Linked DNA regions of Schizosaccharomyces pombe. The gene in region 1 interacts genetically with each later gene. Each region holds a gene or a part of one and is shown on either strand. Other genes may lie near its edges. The genes, in order: ppk26, alg6, utp16 and dad4.

Region 1 (8,134 bases):
GCAATGGTTCAGATAACTTGTGCAGAGATTTTTCAATAAATTCCTTCTTGGAAGGCGGCAAAGAAGAGTCCGTATTTTCGTTTGCATCCGATTTCAAAGCGTTTGAGCTTGGTCTAGAATTTGAAGAATTAAAATCATTTGACGACTTTCTGGTTGAAAGCCTTGTGAATGTGCTTATCAGGGGGATCTTAGGCGCTTGAGTGATTACAGCATGACTTTTTGCAGGGCTTAAGGAAGACTCGTCGTTTTTATTATTCAGCTTCATTTTAGCAAGGTGCAAATCCTTAGCTGCAGAGTTTTTAGCAGCATCTAAAACTGCATTAATCGGTTTCTTCGTGGGCGGAGTCGAAGGAATTAATCTTTTATTAGAACTTACTTCTTGTATTTTCTGCCTTAATCGTTCGGCACGATCATAAGTTTTCAGTTCATAGTGGTTTTCATTGGAGGCAGTTAGCTCGTTCAATTTAGCAATAGAATCGGGAATTTTGGCTTCAAAAAAGTCAAACTCTTGACTTTTGGCATCACTTCCAGGTTGAGAAGATACAGGTAGTCTCTCTTCATTGGATTTTAATTTGGCCGTTAATGCCTCAGCTTCTACTGCGTTGGATTTATCGAAGGAAGTAATTTCGGGAGGGGATTCAAAAATAGTTGGATGAGGTTTAAGCATTTCATTTTCGACAGACCTTTTTCTTTCCTTGGAAGAAGAAGTAACAGTTTCAGAAGAGAAGGCGACTCCTGAACTTCTTTTACGAGTTTTGTAAGAAGTCGATAACCTAGTAGACGACGTGAGCGATTCCTTGGCTGATAAATCTGTCTTGGCGGGGATGACTGATGAAAGGAATTTTCGAAATTTAGAAGGACTAGAGGACACATTGGTATTTAACAAAGAAGAAGGAGCATCAGAAGTAGTTGAAGGTAGTGCCTTGATAGGTTCATCTAATGAAATTTCAGGATTATTCGTTAAGTTGTCTTTAGTACGCCGGCGATTTAACTGATTTATAAATGAATTAGTTGATTCCACACGACTGTGTAATGATGCAGGTCTTTTCAAAATCTCTTCACGTTTAGGTAAAGTGACAAAAGAATAAGCGGGGTGCTTTTGCTTTGGTAATTTATTAGGACTGTCAGCAGTTTCTGATGGGGAAGGCGAAGTTTCACGAAGAGGAACGTTCCATTCAGTAAAACGACGCTCTACTGAAGTAGGACTAAAAGCTGGCAAATTAGTCGGCAATCTCGTTTCTTTAATAGGAGATACACCACCTTTAGTAGATTTATTAACTATATCATCTTTGACATATTCAGAAGATAGCTTAGTAGAATCCCTATCATCATCAAATTGGGTTTCTGTATTAGTAGCAGTATGTAATTCTTTAGGTTCCTTGACTGTATTGGATTCACCCGACTTATATCCTTCAACAGCAGCTTCCTCAAGCTGATGTTGAATAGATGTTAACCGCATGCGAGGCGTTGGTAACGCACATCGATGTACAGGACTTAAACGAGGAGTGGAGTACTTCTCCTTTATCTTGGTAGGTGTTCTCACTAATTCATATATATCCCTAACCATCTAATTAGCACATATGATAAACAACAAATGCGTACGACTCTAGCTGTAACTTGGAAACTTCAAGCATGTGTTCATTCAACCAGTCCATGGTTTCAGATACAAGGAAGAAGAATTCTTTCATTTTTCCATTAGTGAGTTGTTGGGAGTATTCCAACTCCTTATTAAACCATAGTTCTGACCCATTAGAGCCCATCCTGTTTGGTTACATATAAAGAATGAGCTAGTTGCTGGAGAGTGGTCGGTGGTGGAAGCAATCAAATGTCAACAATATACAACAGTAGTTGTATACCTAAGCTTCCAACTAAATTTATAAACAATTATGCTTTCCCAATTTACAAATGATCAAAAGGTTTATTGTTTTCAAGATTTAAATGTAAATATCAAGTTCCGATGTTATAAACAATTGTTAGGAATATAGACATCGGTTAACGACGAAGAGGTTTTTAACGAAGTAACACTTTAAGCCATACATTTTTTCGAGATGCCGATGCTGATTTTATTGCAGTAATTATTGAGTGGAATAAGCAACCCAATGCATGCAACCTATCGTTCGTTTGATCAGCAGACAGAGTTAACTAGTTTGTGTTCAAATATCTTTCACCATTTGTTTATGTTTAGTATATAGCAAGCGGCACAGACATAAAAGTTTCTATTGAACGGCTACAAGCAATTTGTCATGCTTTATACGCTTGTCATTTATTGGATTTTTTTAATGATTCGATCTACAATATTCACGCATTTTCTCCATTTTTTGTTCACATACTTGCCATAGCTTTTAAAAATAATTTTTCCAATCAGACAGAGATAAATGCCAAATATCATACACTTGTCTTTAAGTTTTCAAGAATGTATTAAAACATGGGTAACCATTCTCAAAAAATTAAAAGCTTATTCAATACAAAATTCACCGTTCTCTTTTCATTTTGAGCTATTTTAACTCAATTAGACTTTTCATTCCTTACTCTGTTTTAGAGGACAATGTAAAGAGAATAGGGTAATAAATATGCTTTTATAATTGACAGTCTGTTATTATTCTTTTTAGCAATTTAAATATTTTTCTGAATTCCTAAAATTTCTTTAATTAATTAAATAAATAATATATACTTTTTTGTCTGACAGATCAAAAAAGGAAGGGTGTCCGAGTGGTTATGGAGCTAGTTTAAGGCACTAGTGCGAAAGCTCGTGGGTTCGAGTCCCACCCCTTTCAGTAATTTTTTATTGCATTTTATAGCAAAACAGGGGAGTGTGAATTTGGCAAGCTGTTAGTTTCTATAGGGAATTTATAACTGCGAACTAAGTTTTCTTACTTGCAATGGCTATATATGGGAGGCCGAATTGCTTGAAAAACATAGCTTTGCATTTGAAACAATTCGCAAAAGTTGGCACTAAGGAAGAAGTTAAGATAAAAAAAATTCAGTTACTTTGGTTTTATGATTTGCAATTAAATTACAGTGATCGCAGAAAGATAGCAGCATTACGAAGACATGTTCAACTGCTACATAACACTTGCTATTGTTAAAGTTTTCGAAATAGTTACTGCCCGTTACATGTAAAGAACAGATAAAAAATAAATTAGAATTACTGTCTTCTCAAATGCTTAAATATTACTACTATGAAATTGTTATATAAACAAAATGTAGCGTTGCAAAGTATTACAGTAAACTTCGTTGTGCTGCATTATTAGTATTGTCCGGGACTTACTGATTCCACGACCTGTAACTAAATTGCTATAATCTCAGACTGTTAGCTTGGGATTGCCTGGAAATTGACAGGATGAGTGTGAGGAAGAATTCTCCTGCAAGCCCAAAGCCAACTTCCCGTTCTAGGGAGAGTTCCAGGTCTCCGTCAGTGACTGATTTGAAAGGTAAATGGAAATTCAAAGCAAAACTTGACTGACCACCATTTTTAATAGACCATTCCAAAGCTAAACGAACATTATGTAGAAATATCTTACTTTATGGATCCTGTAAGCATTCAGAAAATGGATGTGCTTTTCGACATGATGGTGTAAGTATAGGCGTATTCTCTTAACTTCAGAGAAGCTTCTTGCTTACGATTGTTTGTAGCCTTTCATCCCTTCTTCAGAGAATTTGGAGCAATACTCAGTGTATGATTTTTTTTAAGGCTTTGTACGTATAATTAACCTCGCTAGTAAGAAAAAACTGAATGCTGCGTCGGCCTCTTTTCAACCTGTTCGCGCTTTACCAGTAAAGGCTGCTGGCGCTGCAGTATTTGTTCCTAAATCACAAGAAAAATCTCTTTTTCTATCTAGAGAGCGTACCCCTGTTGCGCTTTCACCAGGTAGTCATGTATGTCTGGCTAACAGCTTATATTTTTCTTACTAATTTTACTGTAATTTTAGGCTATTAATCCTTACAATAATGCATCTATGTTGGTCAATGAGCCTTTTCATGATGACTCTGGGGTTTATTATACTCGTCAAAACCAGTTTAAACCCGTAAGTCTAAAGCCTTATTATTGTTGTTGACAACAACAGACATTGTACAATTTATATAATCCGCAACCTTCTCCCATGCCAACTTTACTTCCTTATGAAAGAACTGTAAACGGTCTATTTATTGATGATACGACTAGAGAAAGAATCGAGAGAAAGAGCGAGGCATCCCGTCAGACAATTTCAGGTACTTAATTTGTGTCTAGCTTCCTTTATACTAATATTTTAGCGCTTCCGTCTATTATATCTTCATATACTTCTTTGGCGCCACTGAATACAAAGCTTTATCGGTATAAAGAGCAAATTGGATTCTCTTCTTGGACGTACAAATGCACTTCTTCCATCGATGGGAATGCTTACGTTTTGAAACGACTCCAAGGTAACCTTCAGATTCATAAATTGCAATTGCTAATATATTTAAAAGACTGTTCAATTAATATTGATACGTCGACTGTCGACAAGCTTAAAAATGTTTTTCATCCAAATATCGTACCATTCCATTCTGCTTTTCATACTGATACATTTCATGATTCTTGTAAGTTTATTTTACTAAACCTTACTAATTAATCAAGCGTTACTATTAATTTATGATTTTTATCCGTGTACTACAACCCTTGGTGAGCTCTACCTAAACAATTCTAAAAATTCTGTCAAGTTGGAGGAAAATAGAAAAATTCCAGAACGAGAGTTATGGAATTATTTTTTCCAGCTTACTATCGCTTTGTCATATCTACATAAATCCGGGTTTGCTTGCAACAAGCTTACTCCGTCGAGAATCCTTGTGGATCAAACTGAAAGGTATTTTTTTTTGAACATTTTTTATGTTTTGATGGAATACATTTCTTTAATTCATTAATGACTTATACTAACGTGTAAAGGATTCGTATTAGTGGTTGCGCTGACTATGAATTGGTAGTGTCAAACAAGCCTCCATTAGAGGAACGAAAGAAGCAGGATTTTGTAGATCTTGGAGTTGTGATTGCGAATTTAGCTACTGGAAGAACTGATATGGACATGTCTTCAGCCGCACGAGCAATTTATAGTACATATTCGAGGGAATTTTATAAAGCGGTTTTATACTTTGTATCGGAAGTTCCTGAGGATAAAAACTTGGAGTTGTTTTTGCAAAATCACATAGAAAGTTTTTTCCCTATAATGAGTTCACCATACGTGGAATGCGAAAAAATGGAGAGAAAAATTTCGGACGCTTTCCAACACGGTCGATTTTTTAATATTTTGTGCAAGATTATGTTTATTATTGATAATAATAGAGCTTCTCGTGAATATCCTATCGCACGAGAAAAAGAAATTTCATTAATCTACTTATTACGAGATTATCTTTTCCATCAGATAGATGAAGATGAGTGTCCTGTGATAGATTTATATCAAGTGCTGAATCGCCTGGGAAAGGTAAGTTTTTTACATTTTTCTCATTATTGCATTTATTAATTCATTAGCTTGATGCCGGTATAAATCAAGCCATCGCATTAATTTCCCGAGATGAACTTGATTGTGTTTCAGTTTCTTATGGGGAGGTAAGTATTTGCTCAAAAAGCCATAGTGGGTGCTTAGTAAATTAGACTACTTTTCCACACTATATAGCCTGTTTGTTTGCAAAATTACTAACAATAACAAATGTAGCTAAAAGCTTGGTTGGACAACGTTTACGAAATGGAAATAAATTCTTAAAATAAAACATTTTTCTTTACAGAATATTTATTTGTTTTTTTGTATCTATTACCATGGTTGTTAATTTAAGTAAATAATAGTTTTCGCTATAATAATATTAGAAGGAAGCTAAGCTTAATGTGGTTTTGAATTACCTACTGCAACACACCGTATTGAAACAAAAACGATCAGGAATAGAAGCCTGACACTTATCAGATAAAATTCATTAATACGTTTTCCTGGTTTAATTATTAATTACGGAAACTCCCATGCTTGTTAAGGTACATACAGACGGTTAATCATAAACTTCTTAGAGGAGAGAGTTTAGCAGTTGTCCTCAAAAAATGGCAAACCCTTTCGTTCGAAATCAATCTTTTAAATCAGTATTTTTTAAAAATTTAGTCGGAATTACCCTATGGGTACCCGTATTAATGTTCGTTGAACAACATGTAGTCAGCGTCGGTACAATTGAAGGTAGATCTATGAAACCAGCCTTTAACCCTGAGACAAACATGCTGCAGAGAGATAGGGTACTACTTTGGAAATGGAATAAGGATTACAAAAGAGGAGATGTAGTTATACTACGGTAAGTTCTTGGATCGTTGCAGGGTCTTTCGGTACTGAGTTTCCCTTTTTATCGTTACTAATAAGCAACAAGCTCTCCAGAAAACCCAGAGGAACTATTGGTAAAAAGAGTTCTAGGAGTAGAATACGATATCATGAAAACGAGACCTCCTAAAAAGTTGTCATTAGTACCCGTTCCCGAGGGACATGTGTGGGTCGAAGGCGATGAACAATTTCATTCTATGTAGGTTTCCAACAATTGTTTTTTTACTTTTTCGTTTTCTTCTATAGAGATATTAACTAGTTTACAGTGATAGTAACAAATTTGGCCCAGTATCGACAGGACTCATCACTGCCAAAGTGATTGCAATTTTGTTTCCCTTCTCTCGTGCAGGGCGTATTGATCATGAAGGTTTCCGAAAGAATGCAGTGTTTTTAAGTGGAAAACGTTCTGTTAAGTAAGCTGCACCACAGTGAACCTGTTTCCTTGACAGTTTAGTTCCATGCTGGTTGGTGCTTATTTACATTTCTTTTAAGGAACACGTTATCCTTAAATTTAATTTATTTCGACGCGTCGCGTTCTATATATGACGTCATTAATATGTCTATCTATTTACCTATTTGAAAAAGATGGAAGTTGGAAGCTACTTTGTATTAGAAATACCAATAAAAAAATATAATTTTTTCATACTCAACATCAAAACTTTTATTTAGGGAAAATTAGAATTGACTGAAAAATCCGTCTCTTTTGCATATCCCGAAACAGTAAAGTCGTTGAGTATAGCAAAGTTGGAAATTTTTCAACAGGGTATTTGAAATGAGAAAGAATTCCATTTCTAAGTAGCCTTTAAATAAAACCCCCAGAAGAAACGAACATTGAAGTAGTCCTTTGTTTTCCTTAGGAAGCCTCATATATCGTTACTTCGAATACGGTCTAACGCCGTACCAAATGTATACAGCTGCGTGAACCTTCCCAGAGCGAATTTGTGTATAACACGAAATCCGAAAAAATTACTTCTATTTATTTGAAAAAGAAAGGAATTCACAATCTCTTAAACAAACCAAGTGGTGAGGAGCTCGAGTCTTCTTTCATGGTCAGTTCAGCACCCTTATTTTCGAGAAAAACGTGCTGCCCTTTATAAAAAATTCGATATTTTTTCGGCATTTTTTATTTTAATATACTATAATGGCTTCAGCCAATTTTATTCGCCAGTTTGAGCTGGGGAACGATTCTTTTTCATACCAAAAACGCCCAGAGGATGAGCCATCACAACCCCTTTCAAACAGAAATATAAACAAACTAAACGATTCATCTACTTTAAAAGACTCTAGTTCAAGGATTTTTATTAACTCCCAAGTTTTACGTGATGGCCGACCCGTAGAATTGTATGCTGTCGAATGTTCAGGCATGAAATATATGGAGCTTAGCTGTGGGGATAATGTTGCTCTTCGAAGATGTCCAGATTCTTACTTTAATATCTCTCAAATACTTCGACTTGCTGGTACTTCGTCATCTGAAAACGCCAAAGAATTGGATGATATTATCGAGAGTGGGGACTATGAGAATGTTGACTCCAAACACCCTCAAATAGATGGAGTATGGGTTCCATATGATCGAGCAATTTCTATAGCAAAGCGATATGGGGTTTATGAAATTTTACAACCATTAATTTCTTTTAATCTTGATTTATTCCCCAAATTTTCAAAGCAGCAACAAATCGAAAGTTCTTCAATCTCCAAAAATTTAAATACTTCTTCTTTTAATACGCGATCCCCTTTGAGGAATCATAATTTTTCAAACCCTAGCAAGTCTTCAAAGAATGGGGTGCACACTATAAACAATATGCAGAGTTCACCTTCACCTTCTTCCTCTTTCTTAC
Region 2 (8,314 bases), 1.4 Mb from region 1:
AGTTTCTTTATCGAACTCAGATTCGTCGATCGTGTCTTTGTCCTTGCAATAGGTAATAGCCGCATTGACTTGGAGGTTTGTTTTTAAGTCTCCAGATACAATTTTGGAAGCTATGAATGCCTCATGAGCATTGGATTTCGGGTCTTTTTGTTTTAAAGAAGCGTTGGCCAATGTAAATAGCAAATTTCCAATTGTTCTATCACATCCCGAAGAACCAACGTTAGTTTCCTCAATGACCTTATTTAATGAAGAAGAAAGCTTTTTATTTTTTAACGTATCTTTTACCGTTGTTTCATTTAATCCTATTTTTGTAAACTTGGCACGTAACTCCTCATAATCCTGGTCCATTTTAGTATAATAAAACTTCCCTCCAAAAAATGTATAAGTATTGCAATAACAGCAAACGCGATGAAAAATGAGAGGGTACGGTTAAGTTTTTAATAAAGCTGTTATTATCTTTCAATTCATGTGATAAGCTCCTATCATTGCGTTAATCTGCATAACAGCGGAGTAGGGAACTAATCTTAAAAATCGTTAAGTTAATAAAAGTAGTTTCAGTATTAAATTAAAATTTAAAACATTTTGTTTACGGTTTGAAAATTAAAACAGGAATTCACACTTTTGCGCTTTTGAGATATTTTTAATTTTTTTTAAAAAAATAGAGAACGCAAAATGCTTTCCGAATCTTTGTTTTTTTCCTTTAAATGAATAGTTGTTTATCGGTTCTAAGCTCTTGCCTAGTAAGGCTTTTTTGCTTTCACTTTAATACTCAAGGGAGGATGATTCTTTATTGCTATAAAAGTTTAGATTTTAAAAACAGCATCAACCACTGTAGTGTACAAATGAATTTCATTTGCCCGCCAAGCAGTTAGTATGTTTTTATTCATTCAATCTGGTATCTCTTCTCAAACGAATGTACTTTTGGGTATTTTAATTAAATTTAATCTAATTAGGTTTTAAATTTTCATAAAATATATAAATAACTATTTGTGAGTCCTTGAAAATATTTCATTTAGCTTAAGCATAAATATTGAAATTATTCTGAAGAGTAAACAATATACAAACAATGCGAGAATGCAAATAATGTTAGTAACTATACAACTTCAGTTTCTATTTCAAATCGTTTTACAAAAAATTAAACTAAACATATGATTAGTAAATATCGCTTAAAATTATACAAATAATGGAGATTTCACAGTGTTCCATCAACGCAAAAAGAAAATATTAGGATAATGCTTGCTTTTACTTAAAACTGTAACAGACCAAGAAATAATTTTACAATATTATTATGAATTCTGGTTTTAAAAGCATGATTTTTCGTCAAACCGTCGCTTTTTTTTTTAGCCCAACAAGGGTTTTCTTTAGAAATTATCATGAACGAAAAGACTTTTAAAATTTCAAAGCTCTTAATTGCAGCTACAAATTCGAGATCAATTACATAGTAAATGTATTAAGGGAATTATTTTTCTTAGCATGTTCTTTGCTAATAAGATTTTCGTTAGAGCTAAATTATTAAACAGCAAACAATTAAGTAATATATTTCAGTTCATTGAATTTAATGGGCTAGTATCACTGAAACAAACTCCTAACTTGCCAAGCTCAATTTATTCTAACATTTACCTATCTTAAGAGAAAAGTAAATCAGTCAATAAGTGATACAGCTTAATTTTCATGTTTATCAACTCATTTTTTATGTTATTGCTCACCCTTGGATCAATTATGTAGTGATAACTTTGCGCGTATTTAATTTTTAGGCTTTGAAACTGAAAATAAAAAATAAGAAAGAAAGAATGAATTAAAAAGTGAATTGATTTTTTTGGACATTATAAAACCATATTTCACGATGATCGCAATGGTGGACCCATAGTCCACTTCGTGGTTCCCAACCCATTTCACTGTTATCCCAACTTGTATCTGCTTTGAATTAGCTTTTCCTTGTTTAAAACATTCCGGATACAAATTCACTCGTTTTTTAATCTTTAAGCTTTCCAAGTTGGATATTTTAATTTAGAAACCCAAAGTTTTAAAGCGAAATCCTTACCGTTTGACGGCCGCTTAAAACATGCTATCTGAGTTTGAGAATGGGGCTCCCGTTCAACAATTCGTTTCTCGTTTTCGATCCTATTCATCTAAATTTTTATTTTTTCCATGCCTTATAATGAGTTTAGTTTTCATGCAATGGCTTATATCTATCGGTCCTTATTCTGGGTATAATACACCTCCTATGTATGGCGATTTTGAAGCGCAAAGACATTGGATGGAACTAACATTGCATACTCCTGTGTCTCAATGGTATTTTAGAGATTTGCAATGGTGGGGATTAGATTATCCTCCTTTAACAGCATATGTTTCTTGGTTCTTTGGTATAATTGGGCATTATTTTTTCAACCCCGAATGGTTTGCTGATGTCACATCTCGTGGATTTGAAAGTCTTGAATTAAAATTATTCATGAGATCTACTGTTATTGCATCTCATCTTCTAATACTCGTTCCCCCTTTAATGTTTTACTCCAAATGGTGGTCGCGCCGTATACCTAATTTTGTGGACAGAAATGCTAGCCTAATTATGGTCCTTTTTCAACCTGCTTTACTCTTAATTGATCATGGTCATTTTCAGTACAACTGTGTTATGCTGGGTTTAGTTATGTATGCAATCGCTAATTTGCTTAAAAACCAATATGTAGCTGCTACGTTTTTTTTCTGTTTAGCTCTTACGTTTAAACAGATGGCTCTATATTTTGCTCCTCCTATTTTTTTTTACTTATTGGGAACTTGTGTAAAGCCAAAGATTCGTTTCTCAAGATTTATCTTGTTGTCAGTCACAGTTGTTTTTACGTTTTCCTTAATATTATTTCCATGGATTTACATGGACTATAAAACATTGCTTCCTCAAATTCTTCATCGAGTGTTCCCGTTTGCTCGTGGTCTTTGGGAAGATAAAGTTGCTAATTTCTGGTGCACCCTCAACACTGTTTTCAAAATTAGAGAGGTGTTTACTTTACATCAACTCCAAGTAATTAGCTTGATTTTTACTCTCATTTCTATTCTCCCATCTTGTGTTATATTATTTCTTTATCCTCGTAAACGTCTTTTAGCTCTGGGTTTCGCAAGTGCATCATGGGGGTTTTTTTTGTTCTCTTTCCAAGTTCATGAAAAGTCGGTTCTTCTTCCTTTACTTCCCACTTCTATTCTCTTATGTCACGGAAACATTACAACCAAACCATGGATTGCTCTAGCAAACAATCTTGCTGTTTTCAGGTAAAATATACATATTTACTGTTTAAATTATACTAATATTTTTATTAGCTTATGGCCGTTACTGAAAAAAGATGGTCTTGGTTTACAATACTTCACATTAGTATTAATGTGGAATTGGATTGGTGACATGGTAGTTTTCTCAAAAAACGTCCTTTTTCGGTTCATCCAACTGGTAAGACTATTTTTATTATTTGCTATTTTTTTATGCCAGGTGTATTAACTGGATGCAGTCTTTTTATGTTGGTATGATTGTTATTTTGGGAATTGATCTGTTTATCCCACCACCATCCCGTTACCCCGATTTATGGGTCATTCTTAATGTTACGCTTTCATTTGCCGGATTTTTTACTATTTACTTATGGACTCTTGGTCGCTTGCTACACATTTCAAGTAAACTTTCTACTGATTTGCGTAACAAAAAAGAAGCATAAATTGAACAAAATGATTTTATGTTACATTATTACGCGGAAAAATCAACATATAGTAAAGGATTTTATTAAAACAATTCTGGGAGAAGGATTGTTATTCATGACTTCAAATATTAAACGAAAGTTATATTTGCCTGAAATATTATTTTAGCCAAGTAACCTTTTATTAAAAGAACGATTATTAAAGTACCATCATCCCATCGAATTCAACACGACAAAGTTGTAAGCGGTACCAGACCGAGCTTTCTACTTTCGTAGCTGATCTAATGTTCAGTAAAAATTGAAAATATGATAAAACAAAAAAAGACAAATGGGATTGTGTATCGATAAATTAGGAATCCCTAATGACTGCATGCTGAGGTTTAACTTGAGGTTTAGGCTGAGCATCGCTGTTAGGTGAAGCTTCATCTTTAGTGGTAGATGAAAGCGAATTTGTGTCAGCAACTTCAGAACCAGAAGGCACGTCTGACGTTAAATTAGTTGTAACTCTTCTTATAGGTTGCCTTTTCCTCTTTGTAGACGCCGTATGTTTTGGAGTATTCCGTTCGTCAAGACTCATCTGAGAAATTATTTCTTCACACCTTTTATATAGTTCTTTAGATGTCCAAGCCGCATTATTATAAAAAAGAGTAGGATCATCTAATAAAAGACTAATTTCTCGAGGGACTTCACAAAATTTCTCAAAGTTCTCAATCAACAGATGAACAGCCTCGATGGCAAGGAAACTTTCGTCAACAGGATCGTTGCTTTTGGAATATAATATGTTCGGAGTAATTACGGTAGCAAGATTATGAATATCCATTTTGCTTCCCACCTCATCATCGATGTGGGAAAAAGAGGCAACCCAATATAGAAAGCCAAAAATTACCTCCATAGTGTCTCTATGTCCCTTGGGTAGTAAACATATTGTAAGATGCAAAACCCTCATGCGTTCTTCCTCAGACTCCAACTTTGAAGACGTAATGAACAACCCAAATAACTTGAAAGTTAAAAGAGGATCAGGAAGCTCTCTAAGGAATTTTTTCAATAAAGCAGCCAACTGAATGGGTGTTTCTTGCTCATAATCAATTGAATCCGGAGAAACATCGAGCATGTCAGATAGCTCTTTTAACCTACGTATATTTCCGTTCTTTCTAAATACACCAACTACTGACATATCTTTTCTTTTCATAGCAGCCAATGTATTCCCAATAAAGGCAGGAATATGCTTGACACCCACGCCTGTTCCAACCGTCGACTGAGCGTTATTACGCTCAACAAGAATCTCCAATGGCACCCCAAAGGTACCTTTCTTTTTCACGTTCTTTTTTTCGGCATCTTTCCCCTTGAAAGCCTTTCCAAATTTTTCCCAGAAACCACCTTTGCGCAAATCGCTCATTTCCATCAATTCATCAAGTGAATAATAATCCCGTACAAGAGGGTGCAATATTAATACAGCTACGTGCTTGGTAAATAATAATTCTAAATTAGAAAGATCTGAGAGATAACGAATAGGAGCATCTTCTGATTTAGGAGTCAAACCCTTTTGCGTACCATCATTTTTATCATAAATCGCCCCAGAATTCTTTCGATAGGAAGGATCAGTATAACTGGGCATATGCCTAAATGCATTTGGTCGGTGTTCCCTGTTTCTTTGTTCTGAAATGACTTTAGGAATATCATCAAGAGTAAAAGCACGATTTTCATCAAAGGCATCCATCCTTCTTTCCAAAGGACTAGATGCTTGCTCAACTATGCTTTTTCCAGTAATAGAACCACCATGAGAATGCCAATGGGGACTTTTGTCTTTTCCAGACTCTGACACATTCTTTGATAATTTAGATGTTTCGGTAGAATTGCTTGAGGACTGGGTTTCATTTGAGGTGGCCTTACGATTGCGGGAAGACTTAAGATGTCGCAAATCATTAAGAGTATTGGCATACTTACGAAAACTGTCTGAACTGGCAGTAGTCTCGGCTTGTTTCGCTGTTTCAACAGTACTGGATACATTCTCTTGTTTTGGATCAACAGATAACGGCTTTCGCTGTGATGAGTCGTTATTCTCCATAAGTATAGTATATAATCGAACCAAGGCAATACGTAGCAAGTAAATATATTGAGAAAGCCTGCTCACATACTCAAAAGACGGATGAGGTTCGTCGTTACTAACGTTGGATGATTCAGTATAACATAAATAACATTCTATTTGTTTCGTTTGGTTGTTCCAGCGCGCCCAATCGTAATTCTCCCGATTGTTGTATTTACATTTAGTACATGACAAACAGCCAATATGGCAGCGAATTTCACCCAGGAGAACACAGTCTTCCTCCAAGGCAGAATGACACACATAGCATAAATCGGAGCTGGCATTGGCCAAATTTAAAGGCATATCAAACGAAGAACTATCATATCCTTCTTGATCGACAAATCGAGCTTCTTCTACGGTCTGTAAAAACTGGGGAAGAGCATGCTTACAAGCATGATCTTGTTCTAGTCGTAAACCTCCCGTAAGCGATATCCGAATAAGTAACTTGAGGTAATGAGCTAAACCGGTAAAGAGTGATAAAAAGTCTTGAACAATAGCAACGTCGCGAATATCCGAATTATGGCATTTAGCAAGTAAAGCAAATATTGAAACTAGCTTCTTGCAAAGCAACTTAGCTTCACGAACATAAGGCATACTTTTAGCATGAAAACTTGAAAGTATAGTTTCTAGCGAATCAATGCCTTTAAAAAGTATCTCGATATAACGAATAAATTTTTGGGCACAAATAACACTTTTTGTGAATTCTCCATTTGAAACAAGGAGAAGCATATCACTGATACACGAAGCTGTATACTCCTCAAAATAAGAGAGTGCATGCCAAATATGAAATATTTTCTGTTCTAAATGTTTTTCCCGTTTGCGTAATTGTGATTGAGAAAGCTCAGAATCCTTCTTTTTAGAAGTTTCTATGGATGTCTTTTGACAAAGTTTAACATTCCAAAACTTGTAGATCATATGACAAGGAACGTGCCAATTTTGAGATACCCCATTTCTGTAAACTTCAACAAATTGCCTTAAAATTGGACCATCACAACCGCAACATCGTGCAGCGAAAAGTGTTGAATAATGATAATGACAATACACTTTGCCCTCATATTCATAGTAAGAATCATTCGGACCAAAAACAGTGTAACATAAGGAACAAGTGAAATGTTCTATATGAAATTTTTTATTCAAAGCTGTAATATAATAACCTCGAAGGGCCATTCCACAACTTGCACAAAGTAAGTCAAGCCGCCGAAAATAATCTGTTTCACATAAAGGCACTTGCTTGTTAAGAGTGGGATCATCAATAGGAAAAAATTTTGAAGCAACTAAAGAATTACAATCATGGCATCGAAAACATTCTAAGTGATATATATTTCCAAGAGCACGTACATATTGTCCGGATATAACTTGTCCACATGAAGCACATATCTTTGATGAAGAAACTTTCCTTACAGCCTTAGGAAATACAGAAGTATCTGATCGCTTTAGACTTTGCTGCTCCTCTTTATTAAGCAAACCAGATTGGGCTAATTGTTGCTGATTAGGCAACGCTTTTCGAGACTCAGCAGAGGTATGCCTCCGAGAAAGTGAGCTGCCACCCTCAGTACCAGCAACAGTGCTTGTATGTCGAGAATGGGGGAAATTCTTCGTTGTAGAATTCTCTTCTATCTTATTTTGACGGGAAGGAACAGGAATTCGTTTCGGTGGTGTTGGTGATACACCATTCGTTGTGTACAGCAACCCATCTTTTTTGGCGTCCCTTTGGGACATACTGTCCTTGCTGTTTGAACGAACCTTAGCTTCTATATTAAACGCCTTTATCACTTAATAAACCAGTATGACTAGTTAATCCTCTTTGGGATATTTCCGTTCGAAAATCACCCCCAAGAAAACCTTATGGGACTCAATTCCTTCAGTTTTTAAAAGAGTGAAATTAATAATATGTAAGACCTCAAATAACTAAGCCTATAGCTTTTGAAGCTATTTTTTTTCAGAGACTAACTATTGTTGCGGTATGTTGGTGGTTGTTGGTCCGACTTCCACCTAAGAGGAGACTGCACACCATGGAATCCAAGTCAGAAATGCTAAACTCCAGCTTGATATAGGGGCCAAAATAGACCCTAATTTTTATAGCGACTAAGACATGAAGTCATTTGGGAAACCGATTTCAGTACACACCCCGAAAATGACTTTAGATCTTCGTTTAGAGAATAATCTGTATTTTTGTTTTATCTCTCTTTAATGCTACACTTTATGCTCCTTTTGGATAGTTATTCTTAGGTGTAGGTTTAGGCACTGAATTTTACAACGACTATTATACTAGAGCTGCTCGCTGCTCATGCTAAGGCTTTTACACATTTACGAAGTCTATGTTATAACAAGAGTCCTTATAGATGTTTGAAATTATCATAGACAATATGAGTGACTTTGATTTTAACTACCTGTTCAAGTTTCCCAAAAAGTATTTAAGTACTTTCCCACTGTGTTTCCCAGACTACGTACGTCTTGCAAGTTCAGTAGGGTTGAATTCAGATAAAATAAATGGAGTTTATAAAAACTCAAATCACTTAATACATTATCTTAAAAATACATGCAGAATTTTTTATTTTTATTT
Region 3 (6,929 bases), 890 kb from region 1:
CGTATGGATAATAACGACCAAATATCAAACCTTTGTCTAGGGGCTTTACAACTGCTTGCCGATCAACCTATTTCGGTTATCTCGAATGAACCATCTGAAGAACAGCGGAATGAGCACGTCCTGAAAAAATGGGAAAATAACGTTTTAAGACATTGGAAAATTCTTTTTTCTCTTTTTATGCAAACTTGTGGTGATAGTGTACAAGGAAATGCTGCCTTCTCAATCCTCAATTTCATGACTACTAATAGTTTAGTGGGACAACTATATCAGCGACTATATGATGAGTCTAATTCATTGGGCTTTATAAGTAGCCCTTTGAACGAGACAGAACATTTGTCGGAAGAAAATTTAAAAATCGAAAGCAGTATTACCTTCACTAGTGAAGAAATTGAGAAGGAAAAAGAAAATATTAAATCTGTATTACTTCCTTCAGTGCAATCTATTTCTTCTTCTTTAGAATTGTATGCGTCTAAAGAATCTGATTATAGAAGCTCAATTGAAGGTGTATTAGCTGACTTGAAGTTAGCGCGTGCCCGTTGGGAAATCGTTAGAAACGTGACACAAATACTTTTGCTCGAATCCGGCATTAGTTTCCTAGAGAACAAAAAACTTGCATATATCATGGATCTATGTGGTGATCGTGAAGACAATTATAGTTCCTATTAAAAGTCTTTATTTTGTTTGTGAACGAAAAATTTGGTATGTTTTTATGAATGTTATAAGCCCAGTGATGCTTTTTTGAATTTCTTCAACGGAGCCGTTTGTCTTATTGACATGCGATGTGGGACGATATTTGACATACTGAGGGCCAATCATTCATTTTTCTGACTTCATAATTTTTCTTACTAACCTTTAGAGTAAATGAATTCTTTATTATGAATATTTTTAATAAAAGCTCCTTTTTTACTCTTTGTAAAAATTTTAGAAACTAGAATACATAAAATTTTATTTAAAGGTACTCTAACAACAATAACGGATGTAAAGGAGAAAATTGGCGAAACCGTAAAAATAATAGATTTCTCTACAAAATGAAGTAGGGTTGGGCGTTATCGGTAAACTGAATCAAGCGGACAAACCACCGTTGTTTTTTTAAAAAAGGAAGGCTTATAATAGTCGGAGGTTTTTGGAATGAGACAATATAGAGGCGCTGATGTCAATTGTGAACATCATCAAAGGTATACTAATATATAGTAAATAGATTGTGAACAATCAAAAATTTTGCGAGCTCAGTAATTCTTTCTCCACAGTCGCAAGAAAACTGGCATCTGCTAATGTATAAAAAGTCAAGAGTCAATAGTATATACAAATCAGTTATAATTTAAAAACCGTATGGACAACAGACACTTAATTATTTTGCTTTTTAGAAGTAGTCACTTCTTTTGAACGACCGTCAAAAGCACCACGGTTACCTTTGCGAAAATTCCTTTTCATTCCATTATAATTATCGTTGGACTTCTTATCTCCCGATTTGTTGAATTTACCGGAAAAAAGACGGCGTCGTTCTTCTATGTTCAGCGTGGCATTGTTAATTTGCAAAGTTTTTTTGTTCAAAGCCAATTGCACGCATTCATGGTTGACAAAATCAACATATGCGGTGCCTTTGCGACGAGCAAACTCAATAGCCTTGACTGGTCCAAAAATGCTCATAGCAGATTTCAATGACACATCAGATGTTTCGGGAGGAATGTTCTTGACGAATACAGATGTCTCCAACAGTTCATTACTCTGAGTGTACGGCGCTGTTGGCTGCTGAGTTTGGTCAGCATTAACACCTTTAACTGTTTGACCAGTTGTAGACGCAGTAGAACTAACTGATGCTTGGGATTTCACATCAGGATGATTACGAGCTATGAGATCAGCCCAAGATTTAGGTGCTGTAGCAACATTTGCATCGCTAGCCCCTATAGCATCAGCATTCTTCGAGTTTGAAGTCAGAGCTTCATCTTGAAGCTGATTTTCCTGCTGAGAAACAAAACTTGGGACTGAGGCTTCCGTAACTTGGATAACGGGTTCTTCAGGAACAGCCAAAGTAGCTTGATTTAGACTGTCGGTCTCATTTGATATAAGAGCGGCTGTGGCAAAATTATTTTCTGTAGCAGCTGGATCCTGGTAATGGCCTTCTTCTTTTGCAGAAGGTAAATGTTCTTGAGATTGCACGCCATTTACGTAAGGTTCAGAAGCAACATCTTTTTTCTCTTTTTCAACAGCATCAGGTGACTCCTCTTCTTCCTCAACATCTTCACGCAAAAAACGGAAAATATCGTTTAAAACAAAATAACCATTTGGTTGTTCTGCAAGGAAAAATGTTTGAGCAAATTTTCTGGATAATTTCCCCTTATTAGACATTTCACCCAGGACCTGGATGACAATGCCACCATTCGAAGAAGCCAAACTGTCAACGTTTGAAATAAGTACTTTGCAATTTTGAAAGTCCAAGTCCAATATCTTGTTATGAATTTCCTAACACGTTAATAAAATGACTATTGGGCAAGACAACGATCATAGAGTTTCGAAAATCGCAAGCAGAATATCACAACCTCAAAAACTTTACATATAAGAATTGTGTTAAAGCATACCTGTTGTCCATGACAAAGACTAATACTCTCGCCTTCGTCTCCGTGAATTAAAGTTGACTTTTTAGTATAGAAACACTGTATTACAGTTAGTACGGTTCACAAGTTGAAGAAAAAAAAACTTTTGGTAAATTATGACGACCTACATGAAGACGATTGGGTTCTTTATTTAAATATGTATAATATTCTTGAACGAACATCCATCCTATCTCATCCTTTCCCAAAACTGGTTCTAATAATGTGGCATTTTCCGCAGTCATGTTTTATTTAACTGTGACAATAGCTATACAAAGAACAGAAAATCTGGCTCTAAAAGACCCAAAACAAAATTCGGTCGTGTCTTATGTTTTCCGTGCGTTGGTCTTTTTAATGTCCCATCTCCTTGCTTTCAATGTCCGTGATTACAGCATTTCGTAATTGGATTTAACGAGACTAAACGATATTTCTGTTGATCTTTTACATTCAACTTGTTCGCATAAGTAAGTTAGTTGATGGAAAGAGAGACCTTTTGGTCAGAAAATTGTTTGGTTTTTCATTTCAACAAATAACATAAACATCATATGATTTACCATAGATCAAAGTTGCATATATTTCTTTCTATTATTGTTTTGCAAATTGATTATATTAGAAACGTTAATTCATTGGAAACCACTAAACATTTTGAATAGTAATACGACTATATACTGTGCTAGAGAGATTAACCTGCTAATGATTTTGCCAAAAGTCAATTAGTTTAACAGCTTTAAATGCAATCGTCTAGAAAAATTATGATACTAAAAAGAAAGTATGCGAGCCTTTAAATCATTTAATTAACGAAAATTGAAATTACTTTCTTCTTCTTATTTACCAGCATTAAAGGGTTAAAATCTAGTGCTATAATTGCAACGTATCTTACTTTAAATAAATTATTTATTGATAAATTTTGTAAGACTCAGGAAAGTACCTATCCTATCCATTTTGTTCACTGCCATTTTGGTGGCATTAAGAAGTTTCACTCGCATTGCCAGTTATCCTCCTCCTACACCAATTCAGGTCAAAAAAGTTTCAAATCCTTTAATAGTCTTCGTTTTATAGTATTAAAATCCAAAACTTGTCTGTTAAGGTATAAACTTCTGATAAAGACATTTTGTTGCATTACTTATTCGAAAATTGAAAATTTGTCAAATACTAGAATGGCAAGATTGACTGCCCCAAGCAAAGGTCCTTCATTTTCAAATTTAAACAAACCAAATGATTTGTTGAAAGCGGAAATTGAAGATAATGAAGCCTCACACTACTCTCAAAATCAATCATCTGACAGTGATTCTGATGAAGCACCTGAAGAAGTTTCGCTGAAGAGCAGCAGCGATGAGGTAAAAAAGAGACTTCAACGTCTGAAAGGGAATGAATTACAGTAAGTTTTAATAAACGGAATGAGGGAAACACTTAAAAATACTATTTGTTTTGGTTTGAGACAGAATAATAATTTGTTTGATAAAAGTTCGACTGCTCATTTCGTTTCCTTGCTTTTGATAGTATTATTTTTAACACATTTTAGGCTTCGAAAAGCTGAAAGAGAAAAACGTAGACTGCAAAATGAAAGAAATCGTGAAAGAAATGCCCAACGGGTAAGCGCATCAAAGTTGGATTTGGCTATTCTTGAGGCAGCTGAAGTTGAAGAAATTAATAGTACCACGGAAATCGAAGAAAAGGTTGACGAAGCAAGCCTTGACCTATATACTCCAAAAGGACATAAAATTGTTTTTCCTAATAACGAAATTCCTAAAAAACGTACTCGTTCATTTCGTAAAGGTGATTTTAAAGTGAGCGTTCTTAAAGAAACAAATGACCCTTTACTAGCGCCGAACTATGAAAAGAAACTGTCACAGCGTAAACGGGATTGGATAAATCGACAATCAGTTCCCCGGGCGTCTAAAAGACGACGTCCCTTGACTTATTAATTTTCCTTTCTCTATTTGGCAACACATTCGCTGTAAATTGAAAGTCAGGCACAAGCATTGCATTTTCTGTTAATATAAGGGTTTACTTTTTTGTTTATTAATAATATTGGTTGGGAAAAGGTTGTCTGGGTTCTAAAACATTCATTATTTGAAGCTTTGGACATGCTAAGTGCAGTTTACGGCTGTTTTTTTGGTAAATGTTTAACATAGTATTTTTAAAAATAAACACTTTAGACAAACATGAGTTAATTAAAGTTGTATCAAGGATTTATTGCCATGCACTAGAGGAAATTCGCTCATGTAACGTTTCGTACATCATAGATATTATAGATATCAGTAGCTATAGCTCATAAGGCCAAAATTTGCATAAATATATTATTAATTGTCTAGTGTATGAACATTTACTACTTATAATTATAAAATATTTGCATATAAATTTCTGAGATGGTTTGTACTTTCGACTACTTGCACTAGGCAAACTTCGCTTTTTAGCACCACAAAAATTTTGTCACTTCAAAGCATTGTTGACCTTCACCTCTGCAGCCATGTCGGCCCAGGATGTCGAAAACGCAGTAGAAGCAGCATTAGATCCTTCTGTAGGACCAATAATAAAGCAACAAGCTACAGATTTTATTGGTAGCCTTAGAAGCTCATCTACAGGTTGGAAAATATGCCATGAAATTTTTAGTGAAAAAACGAAATATAAACCATCAACAAGACTGATTTGCCTTCAAACTCTTAGTGAGAAAGTTAGAGAATGGAACAATGAAAGCAATTTGTTAGAGTTACAGATGATAAGAGACAGTGTTTGGTCTTATATTAAGGAATTAAGCTTTTTGGATGAACCAGCTTATATTAGTAATGCTGTACAACATTTATTGACATTATTGTTTCTTCAACTATATCCAAGCAACTGGAATGATTTTTTTGCTTCACTCCAAGGCGTTATTGCGGCGTCGTCTCAATCTGAGTTTTCAAATTTTTATTTGAAGGTTTTACTTTCCATCGGCGATGAGATTGCTGATTCATTGGTTTTAAAGACAGATGTTCAAATTCAAAAAGATAATTTAGTAAAAGATGCAATTAGGGCAAATGATATGTCTGATATCGTTTCATTCGTCTATGAAATGATGTTGGCCTATAGTAATGCTAAAAACTATGGCACGGTTGGATTGTGCCTTCAAGTATATGCACAGTGGGTATCTTGGATCAATATAAATTTGATAGTTAATGAACCGTGTATGAACTTGTTATACTCTTTCCTTCAAATTGAAGAATTACGTTGCGCTGCATGCGAGACAATGACCGAAATTGTGAATAAGAAAATGAAGCCACTTGAGAAACTTAATCTGCTCAATATTCTTAACCTGAATTTGTTCTTTTCAAAGTCGCAGGAACAATCCACTGATCCTAACTTCGACGAACATGTCGCCAAGTTAATAAATGCACAGGGTGTTGAACTTGTCGCTATAAAATCCGATCCTTCAGAACTTAGTCCAGAGTTGAAAGAAAATTGCTCATTTCAGCTCTACAATCTTTTTCCATACCTTATCAGATATCTTTCTGATGATTATGATGAAACCTCGACAGCAGTTTTCCCCTTTTTGTCCGACTTACTTGTCTCACTTAGGAAAGAATCTTCTTCCAAAGAACTTAGTGCTTCTTTAAAAGAATTTCTTAAATCTCTGCTAGAAGCTATTATAAAGAAAATGAAATATGATGAATCACAGGAGTGGGATGACGATCCTGATAGCGAGGAAGAGGCCGAATTCCAAGAAATGCGTAAAAAATTAAAGATTTTTCAAGATACCATTAACTCTATTGATTCTAGTCTATTTTCTTCGTACATGTATTCTGCTATAACTTCTAGTTTATCTACTGCTGCTACATTATCTCCTGAAAATTCATGGCAGCTTATTGAGTTTGCGCTATATGAAACCTATATTTTTGGTGAAGGATTGCGGGGTCCCGATGCATTTTTTAATGAAGTTGATAAATCTCCGACTGTTCTTTCTCAAATACTAGCATTAGTTACCACTTCACAAGTTTGCCGACATCCTCATCCGTTAGTTCAGCTTCTGTACATGGAAATATTAGTACGATACGCTAGTTTCTTCGATTACGAATCTGCGGCTATTCCCGCTTTAATAGAATACTTTGTTGGGCCCAGAGGAATACATAACACAAATGAACGTGTTCGTCCAAGAGCATGGTATCTGTTTTATCGATTTGTTAAAAGCATTAAGAAACAAGTTGTAAATTATACTGAATCATCTCTCGCCATGCTTGGTGATCTATTAAATATAAGTGTTTCTCCCGTTACTGATATGGATGCGCCAGTACCGACATTAAATTCCTCCATAAGAAATAGTGATTTTAACTCTCAGCTCTATTTATTTGAGACTGTTGGTGTCTT
Region 4 (7,094 bases), 1.2 Mb from region 1:
GGTGATGAGCCAAACTCTCTTTGAAAAATCAATGAACCGGCTCTATTGATGATGATTAATGCATGCATAGGTATATGAGTATTAATGATATTTAAATAGATAAATATGAGTTGAAAATTAGCAGCCTTTCGCTGTGCGTAGGAACAAGCTTTGATTTAAGTAGTAGTAGTAGTAGTAGCAGTACGTTGGTTGAATGGGCAAAACCGAAAGACGCGACTACCAGCATGTCGATGACAGCCGGGAATGTCGTATTTGGTAATAATTCTTTAAATATTCGGTTTTGCTAATCTAATTTAGTTGGTAACATTCCATATGATGTTTCGGAACAGCAAATGACTGAAATCTTTAATCAAGTTGGACCAGTAAAGACTTTCAAACTTGTACTTGATCCGGAAACAGGTAGTGGGAAGGGTTATGGGTTTTGTGAGTTTTTTGATAGTGAGACTACCGCTATGGCTGTACGAAAGTTAAATAATTCCGAATTAGGACCTCGTAAGATTCGTGTCGAGTTTCCATCAAATGATCCCAGAAGGAATCAAAGTTATGAATATACGGAGCGTACTGATAGATACATGGAACAGCAAAATGCTCATGAAAGTTCTTATAATTCCCGTTTTATTCCTCCTGTTTTGCATTCAACATCTTCCCTGCCTGCTTCACAAGGAGGTGGGATGCCAAGTCCTGCTATTTATTCGTCGTCAATGGCTACTAATCTTAATAAAAATATAAATTCTACTTCTGTTCCTGCTTATAATTTTCACAACAGTATGACCTCCGACTTTGATTCTGCCAGTCAACCCCATACAGATGCATACAATGCAAGAACCTTTCAGTATAATAAATCTTCACAAAACAAAGGGGATTACACTTCCGGGACTTCTATATCGAATCCGACTTCTATCCCATTGGCCCCGTCTGTCGTTCAGGTACTATCTACCTTCTCAGCTCAGGAACTTCTCAATATGTTGTCCAAACTTCAGACTGTAGTTCATATAGCACCAGAAGAGGCACGACGACTTCTAATTGCTAATCCTGCTTTACCATACGCCGCCTTTCAAGCTATGTTGCTGATGAACTTAGTTGACGCAAATGTCTTACAACAAGTAGTAGTCGCAGTGAAGAATAAAAACATGCATCAACCAGCTTCAGCAACTTCCTCTCCTCCTTCTGTTCCCCAAAAAATACCTTCTAGTAACCATAAAAGTCAACAAGCGAATGGTTCAGATCAGGGCAATGAAGGGAAGCGGGTACGTTTTTTTTTTTTTTTTTGCACTAACAAAACAGATGGCCCTCATACAACAATTGTTGGCTCTTACCCCAGAGCAAATTAACGCATTACCTCCTGCACAAAGGGATCAAATTCTTAGCATTCGTCGGCAGCATTTTCGACAGTAAGTCTAATTTTAGTAATATCAAGAGATTAAATATTAGCATTTGACCAAGTACTTAAATTTGGTGTGCAAGATAATTTATTTACAACACTATAAACCATATCCTAGCACTGATACCTTTTCATACTACACACTTCTTTATACTATTCGGATGTTTTGCTTCTCATAAATATTTGTTTCTATACGCGTTATGGAGGGCTATTTCTTGGATCCTTTATTCAATATCCTTTTATAAAAATTTACTCAATCAATATTTCATATTAAAATTTATTATTTTTTATATTTTAAACTGCCCTTTTGATCGTAAATATATTATAAAAATGTAGGTGGTAACATCAACTGATACTTCTCAAATAAATATGCAACTCATAAATTCCCAAAAAGTTCAATTTCTTAAAAAAAATTTAGATCACAGGTTTAAAATTGTAGTTCAATTTTTCCAACTACGAAGTGTCAGCACTGGCTCATGCAAGCTTCCAAGTACAGACTACATAATTACAGTTTAGGAAATTGAAAACCATCGAAAATGAATAATCCTATGGAAGAACAGCAAAGCGCATTATTAGGAAGGATCATAAGTAATGTAGAAAAGCTGAATGAAAGTATTACAAGACTCAATCATTCATTACAGGTAAGATTACGACGTCAAATATTTGTGTACATATCAACTTTCCGCTGACATTCTTAAAGCTAATTAATATGTCTAATATGAATGTTGAGCTAGCTAGTCAAATGTGGGCGAATTATGCAAGAAACGTAAAATTCCACTTGGAAGAGACCCATACGCTTAAAGATCCCATCTAAAGTTATATGATGTTCTTTAATATTTGTGCTAACGAAATTTGCTATAAAGCACAAGCAAAATTAATATAACAAGGATTGCAATTATTGCTGTCGTGAAAAATCTGTTCATGGCAAGTCTTTAAAATGAGTTAGTATAAAAGATCATTACATGACGATTCATATCACTATAATAATGTCTATCTGTGTCCTACCTTCTTGCCATTGTCTTCAGAGTTCTTAAACTTCGATCAAGGTGTCCAGACGTATCTCCAAGCTAATTTGGTTAACAAATCTCAAAGAAATTTATACATAGCATAAAAGAAAACTATATTTTTAAACCATGGAGCTAATAAGCTTGGCTAAGATATGCGTATAAATCGCGCATTTTATCTTATCAATCATAGTGATTCATTTATCTATTTTGCAATAATTACTTACCATCTCTAAAGAATGCTCCAATTGATTTCTTTGACCATGAAGATCACGAAGAATGCTAGCACCAATGCCTTCAGTCTCATTCGCAATCCGTTGTGATTCAAGAAGACGCTGTGAAGATTGCTCAAGTCTATTTGTTCCTTGTAACAAACGAGTTCTTTGGTCATAATCTTGATCACTTGCAATATAATCACCGGATGTTTCATCCCTATTTCCAAAAAGGGCTTTCCTATCTGATTTGCCAATTTCTTCCTTCTAAACGAGAAAATTGTTAGTATGAATTTGGTAAATAAAAGTAGATTGTCTCATAGTAATTTCTGTAAAGCTTCAAAAGAAGAATGTTCGATATAGCTAACTTACCAGGTGTCTACGCCACTCCTCCAAAGTTGAACGATAACTACGAATTCTTCCATTTACGAGACCTCTTTCAGAAGTAGGGATACCGGTAATTTCAATTTCCATTTGACCAATCTGCAAGTTAGCCACTTTTTTAAAAACACAAATTATTCCAACATACTACTTCATCAATTTCATTTAAAAGTCTCTGACATGATTGAATAACAGAGTTCTCACCACTTTTACTTAAATCATTAAGTTTTTCTTCGATATCTGCTCGAAGCAAGCTAATTATTAGTAAACTTGTAATGGTATTAGACATACCGATATTCTTGCTCGTACGTCTCCATATTTAACAATTATTAATATTGATATATTAGATTTCTTGAAACTATCGTGTAAACAGTTTCTCAAATGAATTAAAAATAAAATAGGTGTAGGTTAAGATTAAATGGTTACGTTGGGAATCGAATACCCATAACAGGTAGTCATATTAATTAAGGCGTGTGTAGAGAGGAATCTACTAAAGCGAAAGAAAAATACAATGTTAAAAGGAATGAATATTAATTAGATAGTGTACAGTTATTATTCCTATGATTCATCAAACCATTTAGTCAATTCTTCTGATAATTCGTCAAATTCGTTTTTCCAGTATAGTAAGCTAGAACCAGATTCTTCATAAACATCACGTACAATGTAACCGTCCATCTCAGCTTGATAAAGTCTTTCTAACGTTACACCAATGGACCAATGCAACCTCATTGCACATTTCAAAGCCGTAGTGCTAGGATTCATAACTTCCAATATAGCGGACAAAAGTTTTCCTGAATGATTAGAAGTTTTTAATTGAAAAAGGATAAGCCCAGAGTTCATTTTGGACGTTGTTATACCAACCTCCATGGAATCTATTAGTTCACAAGCCTTCACAAATCTGGTCGGAGGAATCAGGTTTGCTTTTCTTGACCGATTATAGATGGCCCAAGCCTGGGTCATGGTAACCGTATCGGTATCAGCTTTTAACCTTGTGCGTAAAACTTCTGAGATACTTTTACATAGTTCAATATCATACAATCGAGAATTAGCCGAAACAGGAACATTATCTAAATGATTTCCTCGTAACACTCCTAACTGATTCGATTTGTTTAAAAGCTGCTGTACCTTGTCAGACTGTTGAGTGCCGGTCAGCCCATCCATCTTTTCAGCAAATTGGTCAGCCAGAGACATAGTATCTTTCGCTAAAGAAAAAAAAGCATCTAAATCTTGAAACGCATGTACTAAGGTACGTCCATTTTTGGCTAATTGCATCTCATGAGATTGCTCAAGATCATGAATACCACCCATTCGCAAAGACTTTTCAAGGATGGCCTTCCTCAGAACTTTAGTATCATATTTATTCGAGTATCTTTGTTTTTCTATTTCATCTGTTTCAGATTTGATAGCTTCGTAAAACTTGGATGAACCCGAGCCTCTAAACGAGAGTTGTATAAGCTGGTTTCTATCGACATTTTTTAATTGATTGCCGCAAATTTCACAAGTATTCAGATCCGGATAATTTTGAAAAGTACACGCGGTGCATAATCCTTGAGAAAAACGCGCATCTGATTTCGGCTTTATAATAGTAAATCGGTTAGCAACTCCACAGTTTCTACAAGGATTAATGGGATCACCCACATTGATAAATGTACAAATTTTGCAAGCCCATGACTTTTCCACATGTCGCAGAGAAAGGCGAATTTTTGGGGAGGAGCGAAAATACCTAGAGGTATGCTGTACATCTCTTATATCGGAGATTTTAATTTTTAATGAATTCTTTTTAGGATCTACTGAATCTACGTAGAAGATGTGTTTTTTTGTCAAATATAATGTTCCATTATTATGACGAAAACTTTTCTCATCTCCGAAGTATAAACCTACCTGGTCTTGAACTAGCAAAATTTCTTCTGAAGGATCCAAAACCGGTAGATTAGAAGGGGTTGTTTCTAAATAAAAGGCCATATTAGAAGGAGAGATTAACCAAAATGATAATTGTCAAGTGAATTAAAACTTATATAACATGTCATGTGCCTTGGTTAACTAGTCGAGACCAACAATTGATTTGAGATAATCTGTGAGTACGACTTTCGCTTTATTTAGCTACCTTTAAAAAAAATATTTTTGGATGACAGCTGTGAATGTCGATATATAAATAACATAAATGAAGCCTGTCAAAAGCTCGATTTAATATGTTACAATAAAAAAATCAAACCGTAGTCTTAATAAAAAACAACCCAAGGATCACAAACTAGCGATAAAAGATGCAACAGTGCCAGAATAACTTTTGTAAATGCAGTGAAATAAGTCGTGGAACGTTAAAAGGTCCCAGAAAAATAACTTGTCAAGATTTAACCTGAATTTGGAAAAAGCCTTTAAGGAATTAAAAGACTTTGATTTACAGATATAGACTTAGCAGTCAATATATAATGTCAACGAATTCATCAAAGATACACTGTATATTGAATTACCCACGAACTTTGATTGTCGAGCTCCAAAAATTGGATGCACTAGTGTATTGTGTTATTTAAAATAGTGAATCACTATATGCTTCGTATCTTTGACCAAGAGTTTACCTCTCAGCAGTAGTCATCGAAGCCATCATATTCCTATTTGCTCGAAAATGAGTGATTTTTATGTTCGATACTAGTATGCAAAAAAGCTGTAAATAGTTTTGAATGCTAACTGACTGAAGCTCGGGACACCATGGTCGATTCGGACACGAGTTCTTGGGTACGCGATAATATTAGACGCAAGGTCGCGCAGCTAACCAAACATTTGCTAGAATTCGATTATCATAGTGATGGGCTAGGTATGAATAGAGTCAACAATTTTCTGATTCATATTAGCAACAGTGGTTTGACATGAATACTAATTCAATTAGCTAGATACGCAAACAATTCTAACTATCGGAACGATTCGTTAATCCGAAAGGAGAGTATGTTTTAGTACTACATTTCTGTTCGATCGTATTAACAAAGCCTTAAAGTGTTCGTCAGTGAGCTTGTTTTAAAAGAAGTTCAACGTATTGTAGATGACAGTGAGATCATAAAGCAAGTCATTTCTTTCAATTTTTTATACTAACTACTATTTAGAGAATCAGATGAAAGTTGGCCACCTGAAAATAAAGATGGTAAGCAGGAACTTGAAATTCGTATGAATGGAAAACACATCATGTTTGAAGTAAGATTGCTCTTCATTTGGCATAAATATATTCATTCTAGATACTTTTAAGCTAATATAAACTACTAGACCTGTAAACTTGGAAGTTTGGCAGACGTTCAAAATAGTGATGATCCAGAAGGGCTAAAAGTTTTCTACTACCTAATTCAAGATTTAAAAGCATTGTGCTTTAGTCTCATCTCCCTAAATTTTAAGCTCCGACCTGTTAAAAACTAGATGCATTCCATTTTCTTATATATTAGGGCGAAAAAGTTTTATGTGAAACATTGGTTTACTATTTGGGTTTGATTACCTTTGTTTCGTTTCTAAATGTACAGTCTCAAAGCTGAAAAACGTTCGAGCTTTAGGAAGGAATTTCAGTTTTTATGCTAAATTAACCGTATTGCACTTTTAATTCCATATCATAAGCGGTTAAGAATTGACTATTTATTTGGGAACATCTTAGAATATGGCAACCATTCCATGGTAGTCGCGTTACAAAATCTTTTTTTCAATAAGATATCAAAAAAATCTTGAAATAATTTTAGCTATATTAAATAGACACTATTTGTATAGTAATGAGCGATTCACTTATTTTGTCTCAATAATATTCTTCATTTAAATAAGAGAAAAAAAAGGTAAAGTATTTCTTATTGTAATTAAAAAAAAAATTTCAATGTCTTGAGCACTGTAGTGACATGGTGTCATTTACAGAATTGGCATTTCTATTGATGCCATAGTATCGCCTATTTAGCTGTTAACCTTTCTCGAAGACATGATATGTTATATATGACCTTGGTTGATCAATTGAAGAGCTTTGTTTACCCTTGAACATATCTGTAAAACTGGATGCAGTCGATGAAGGAAATTTGCGTTCCGCCAACATGCCGGATTTATCACTCTACAAACAGACTGTAGATTTATACCTTTCCATTGCTCCTGGACACAGCAGGGATC

What was found.
Region 2: mutations in ppk26 (region 1) and alg6 impair growth when combined (synthetic growth defect), as found in Schizosaccharomyces pombe (one large-scale study listed by BioGRID).
Region 3: mutations in ppk26 (region 1) and utp16 together harm fitness more than expected from each alone (negative genetic interaction), as found in Schizosaccharomyces pombe (one large-scale study listed by BioGRID).
Region 4: mutations in ppk26 (region 1) and dad4 together harm fitness more than expected from each alone (negative genetic interaction), as found in Schizosaccharomyces pombe (one large-scale study listed by BioGRID).

What each region holds. Positions count from the first base shown.
Region 1 is NC_003423.3:2,762,897-2,771,030, reverse strand, and holds ppk26 (PAN complex subunit Ppk26), read left to right. Parts: upstream 1-3,277; 5' UTR 3,278-3,340; coding exon 3,341-3,431; exon of another isoform or gene 3,432-3,479; coding exon 3,480-3,574; exon of another isoform or gene 3,575-3,592; intron 3,593-3,633; coding exon 3,634-3,674; intron 3,675-3,719; coding exon 3,720-3,876; intron 3,877-3,929; coding exon 3,930-4,025; intron 4,026-4,064; coding exon 4,065-4,209; intron 4,210-4,251; coding exon 4,252-4,401; intron 4,402-4,446; coding exon 4,447-4,557; intron 4,558-4,594; coding exon 4,595-4,820; intron 4,821-4,900; coding exon 4,901-5,432; exon of another isoform or gene 5,433-5,479; coding exon 5,480-5,557; exon of another isoform or gene 5,558-5,562; intron 5,563-5,663; coding exon 5,664-5,711; 3' UTR 5,712-5,762; downstream 5,763-8,134. Other genes in the region: INCENP-like protein Pic1, read right to left, coding at 1-1,559, 1,603-1,760; mmp2 (endopeptidase catalytic subunit), read left to right, coding at 6,035-6,276, 6,349-6,498, 6,566-6,716; DNA-binding transcription factor, MBF transcription factor complex subunit Cdc10, read left to right, coding at 7,441-8,134. UniProt on the Schizosaccharomyces pombe protein: Regulatory subunit of the poly(A)-nuclease (PAN) deadenylation complex, one of two cytoplasmic mRNA deadenylases involved in mRNA turnover. PAN specifically shortens poly(A) tails of RNA and the activity is stimulated by poly(A)-binding protein pab1.
Region 2 is NC_003423.3:4,195,451-4,203,764, reverse strand, and holds alg6 (glucosyltransferase Alg6), read left to right. Parts: upstream 1-1,894; 5' UTR 1,895-2,062; coding exon 2,063-3,258; intron 3,259-3,306; coding exon 3,307-3,430; intron 3,431-3,488; coding exon 3,489-3,689; 3' UTR 3,690-4,017; downstream 4,018-8,314. Other genes in the region: glutaminyl--tRNA(Gln) ligase Qrs1, read right to left, coding at 1-348; Rho-type GTPase-activating protein Rga1, read right to left, coding at 4,018-7,470. UniProt on the Schizosaccharomyces pombe protein: Probable dolichyl pyrophosphate Man9GlcNAc2 alpha-1,3-glucosyltransferase that operates in the biosynthetic pathway of dolichol-linked oligosaccharides, the glycan precursors employed in protein asparagine (N)-glycosylation.
Region 3 is NC_003423.3:3,648,211-3,655,139, reverse strand, and holds utp16 (U3 snoRNP-associated protein Utp16), read left to right. Parts: upstream 1-3,319; coding exon 3,320-3,357; intron 3,358-3,402; exon of another isoform or gene 3,403-3,423; coding exon 3,424-3,966; exon of another isoform or gene 3,967-4,110; coding exon 4,111-4,513; 3' UTR 4,514-4,779; downstream 4,780-6,929. Other genes in the region: CENP-H-like protein Fta3, read left to right, coding at 4-666; ubiquitin protease cofactor Nxt3, read right to left, coding at 1,345-2,460, 2,577-2,651, 2,720-2,833; karyopherin exportin-T Los1, read left to right, coding at 5,059-6,929. UniProt on the Schizosaccharomyces pombe protein: Functions as part of the small subunit (SSU) processome, first precursor of the small eukaryotic ribosomal subunit that coordinates the first two steps of ribosome biogenesis in transcription of the primary transcript pre-RNA and pre-18S processing.
Region 4 is NC_003423.3:4,001,158-4,008,251, reverse strand, and holds dad4 (DASH complex subunit Dad4), read left to right. Parts: upstream 1-1,869; 5' UTR 1,870-1,917; coding exon 1,918-2,022; intron 2,023-2,050; exon of another isoform or gene 2,051-2,081; coding exon 2,082-2,195; 3' UTR 2,196-2,223; coding exon of another isoform or gene 2,224-2,311; 3' UTR 2,312-2,386; coding exon of another isoform or gene 2,387-2,448; 3' UTR 2,449-2,612; coding exon of another isoform or gene 2,613-2,864; 3' UTR 2,865-2,969; coding exon of another isoform or gene 2,970-3,080; 3' UTR 3,081-3,126; downstream 3,127-7,094. Other genes in the region: TRAPP complex subunit Trs23, read right to left, coding at 1-68; cleavage and polyadenylation specificity factor complex subunit Ctf1, read left to right, coding at 225-255, 298-1,247, 1,285-1,395; SNARE protein Vti1, read right to left, coding at 2,224-2,311, 2,387-2,448, 2,613-2,864, 2,970-3,080, 3,127-3,232, 3,270-3,295; ESCRT II complex subunit Vps36, read right to left, coding at 3,537-4,940; mnh1 (protein mago nashi), read left to right, coding at 5,599-5,624, 5,671-5,708, 5,761-5,787, 5,860-5,913, 5,965-6,028, 6,071-6,158, 6,228-6,374; DNA-directed RNA polymerase I complex subunit Rpa43, read left to right, coding at 7,022-7,094.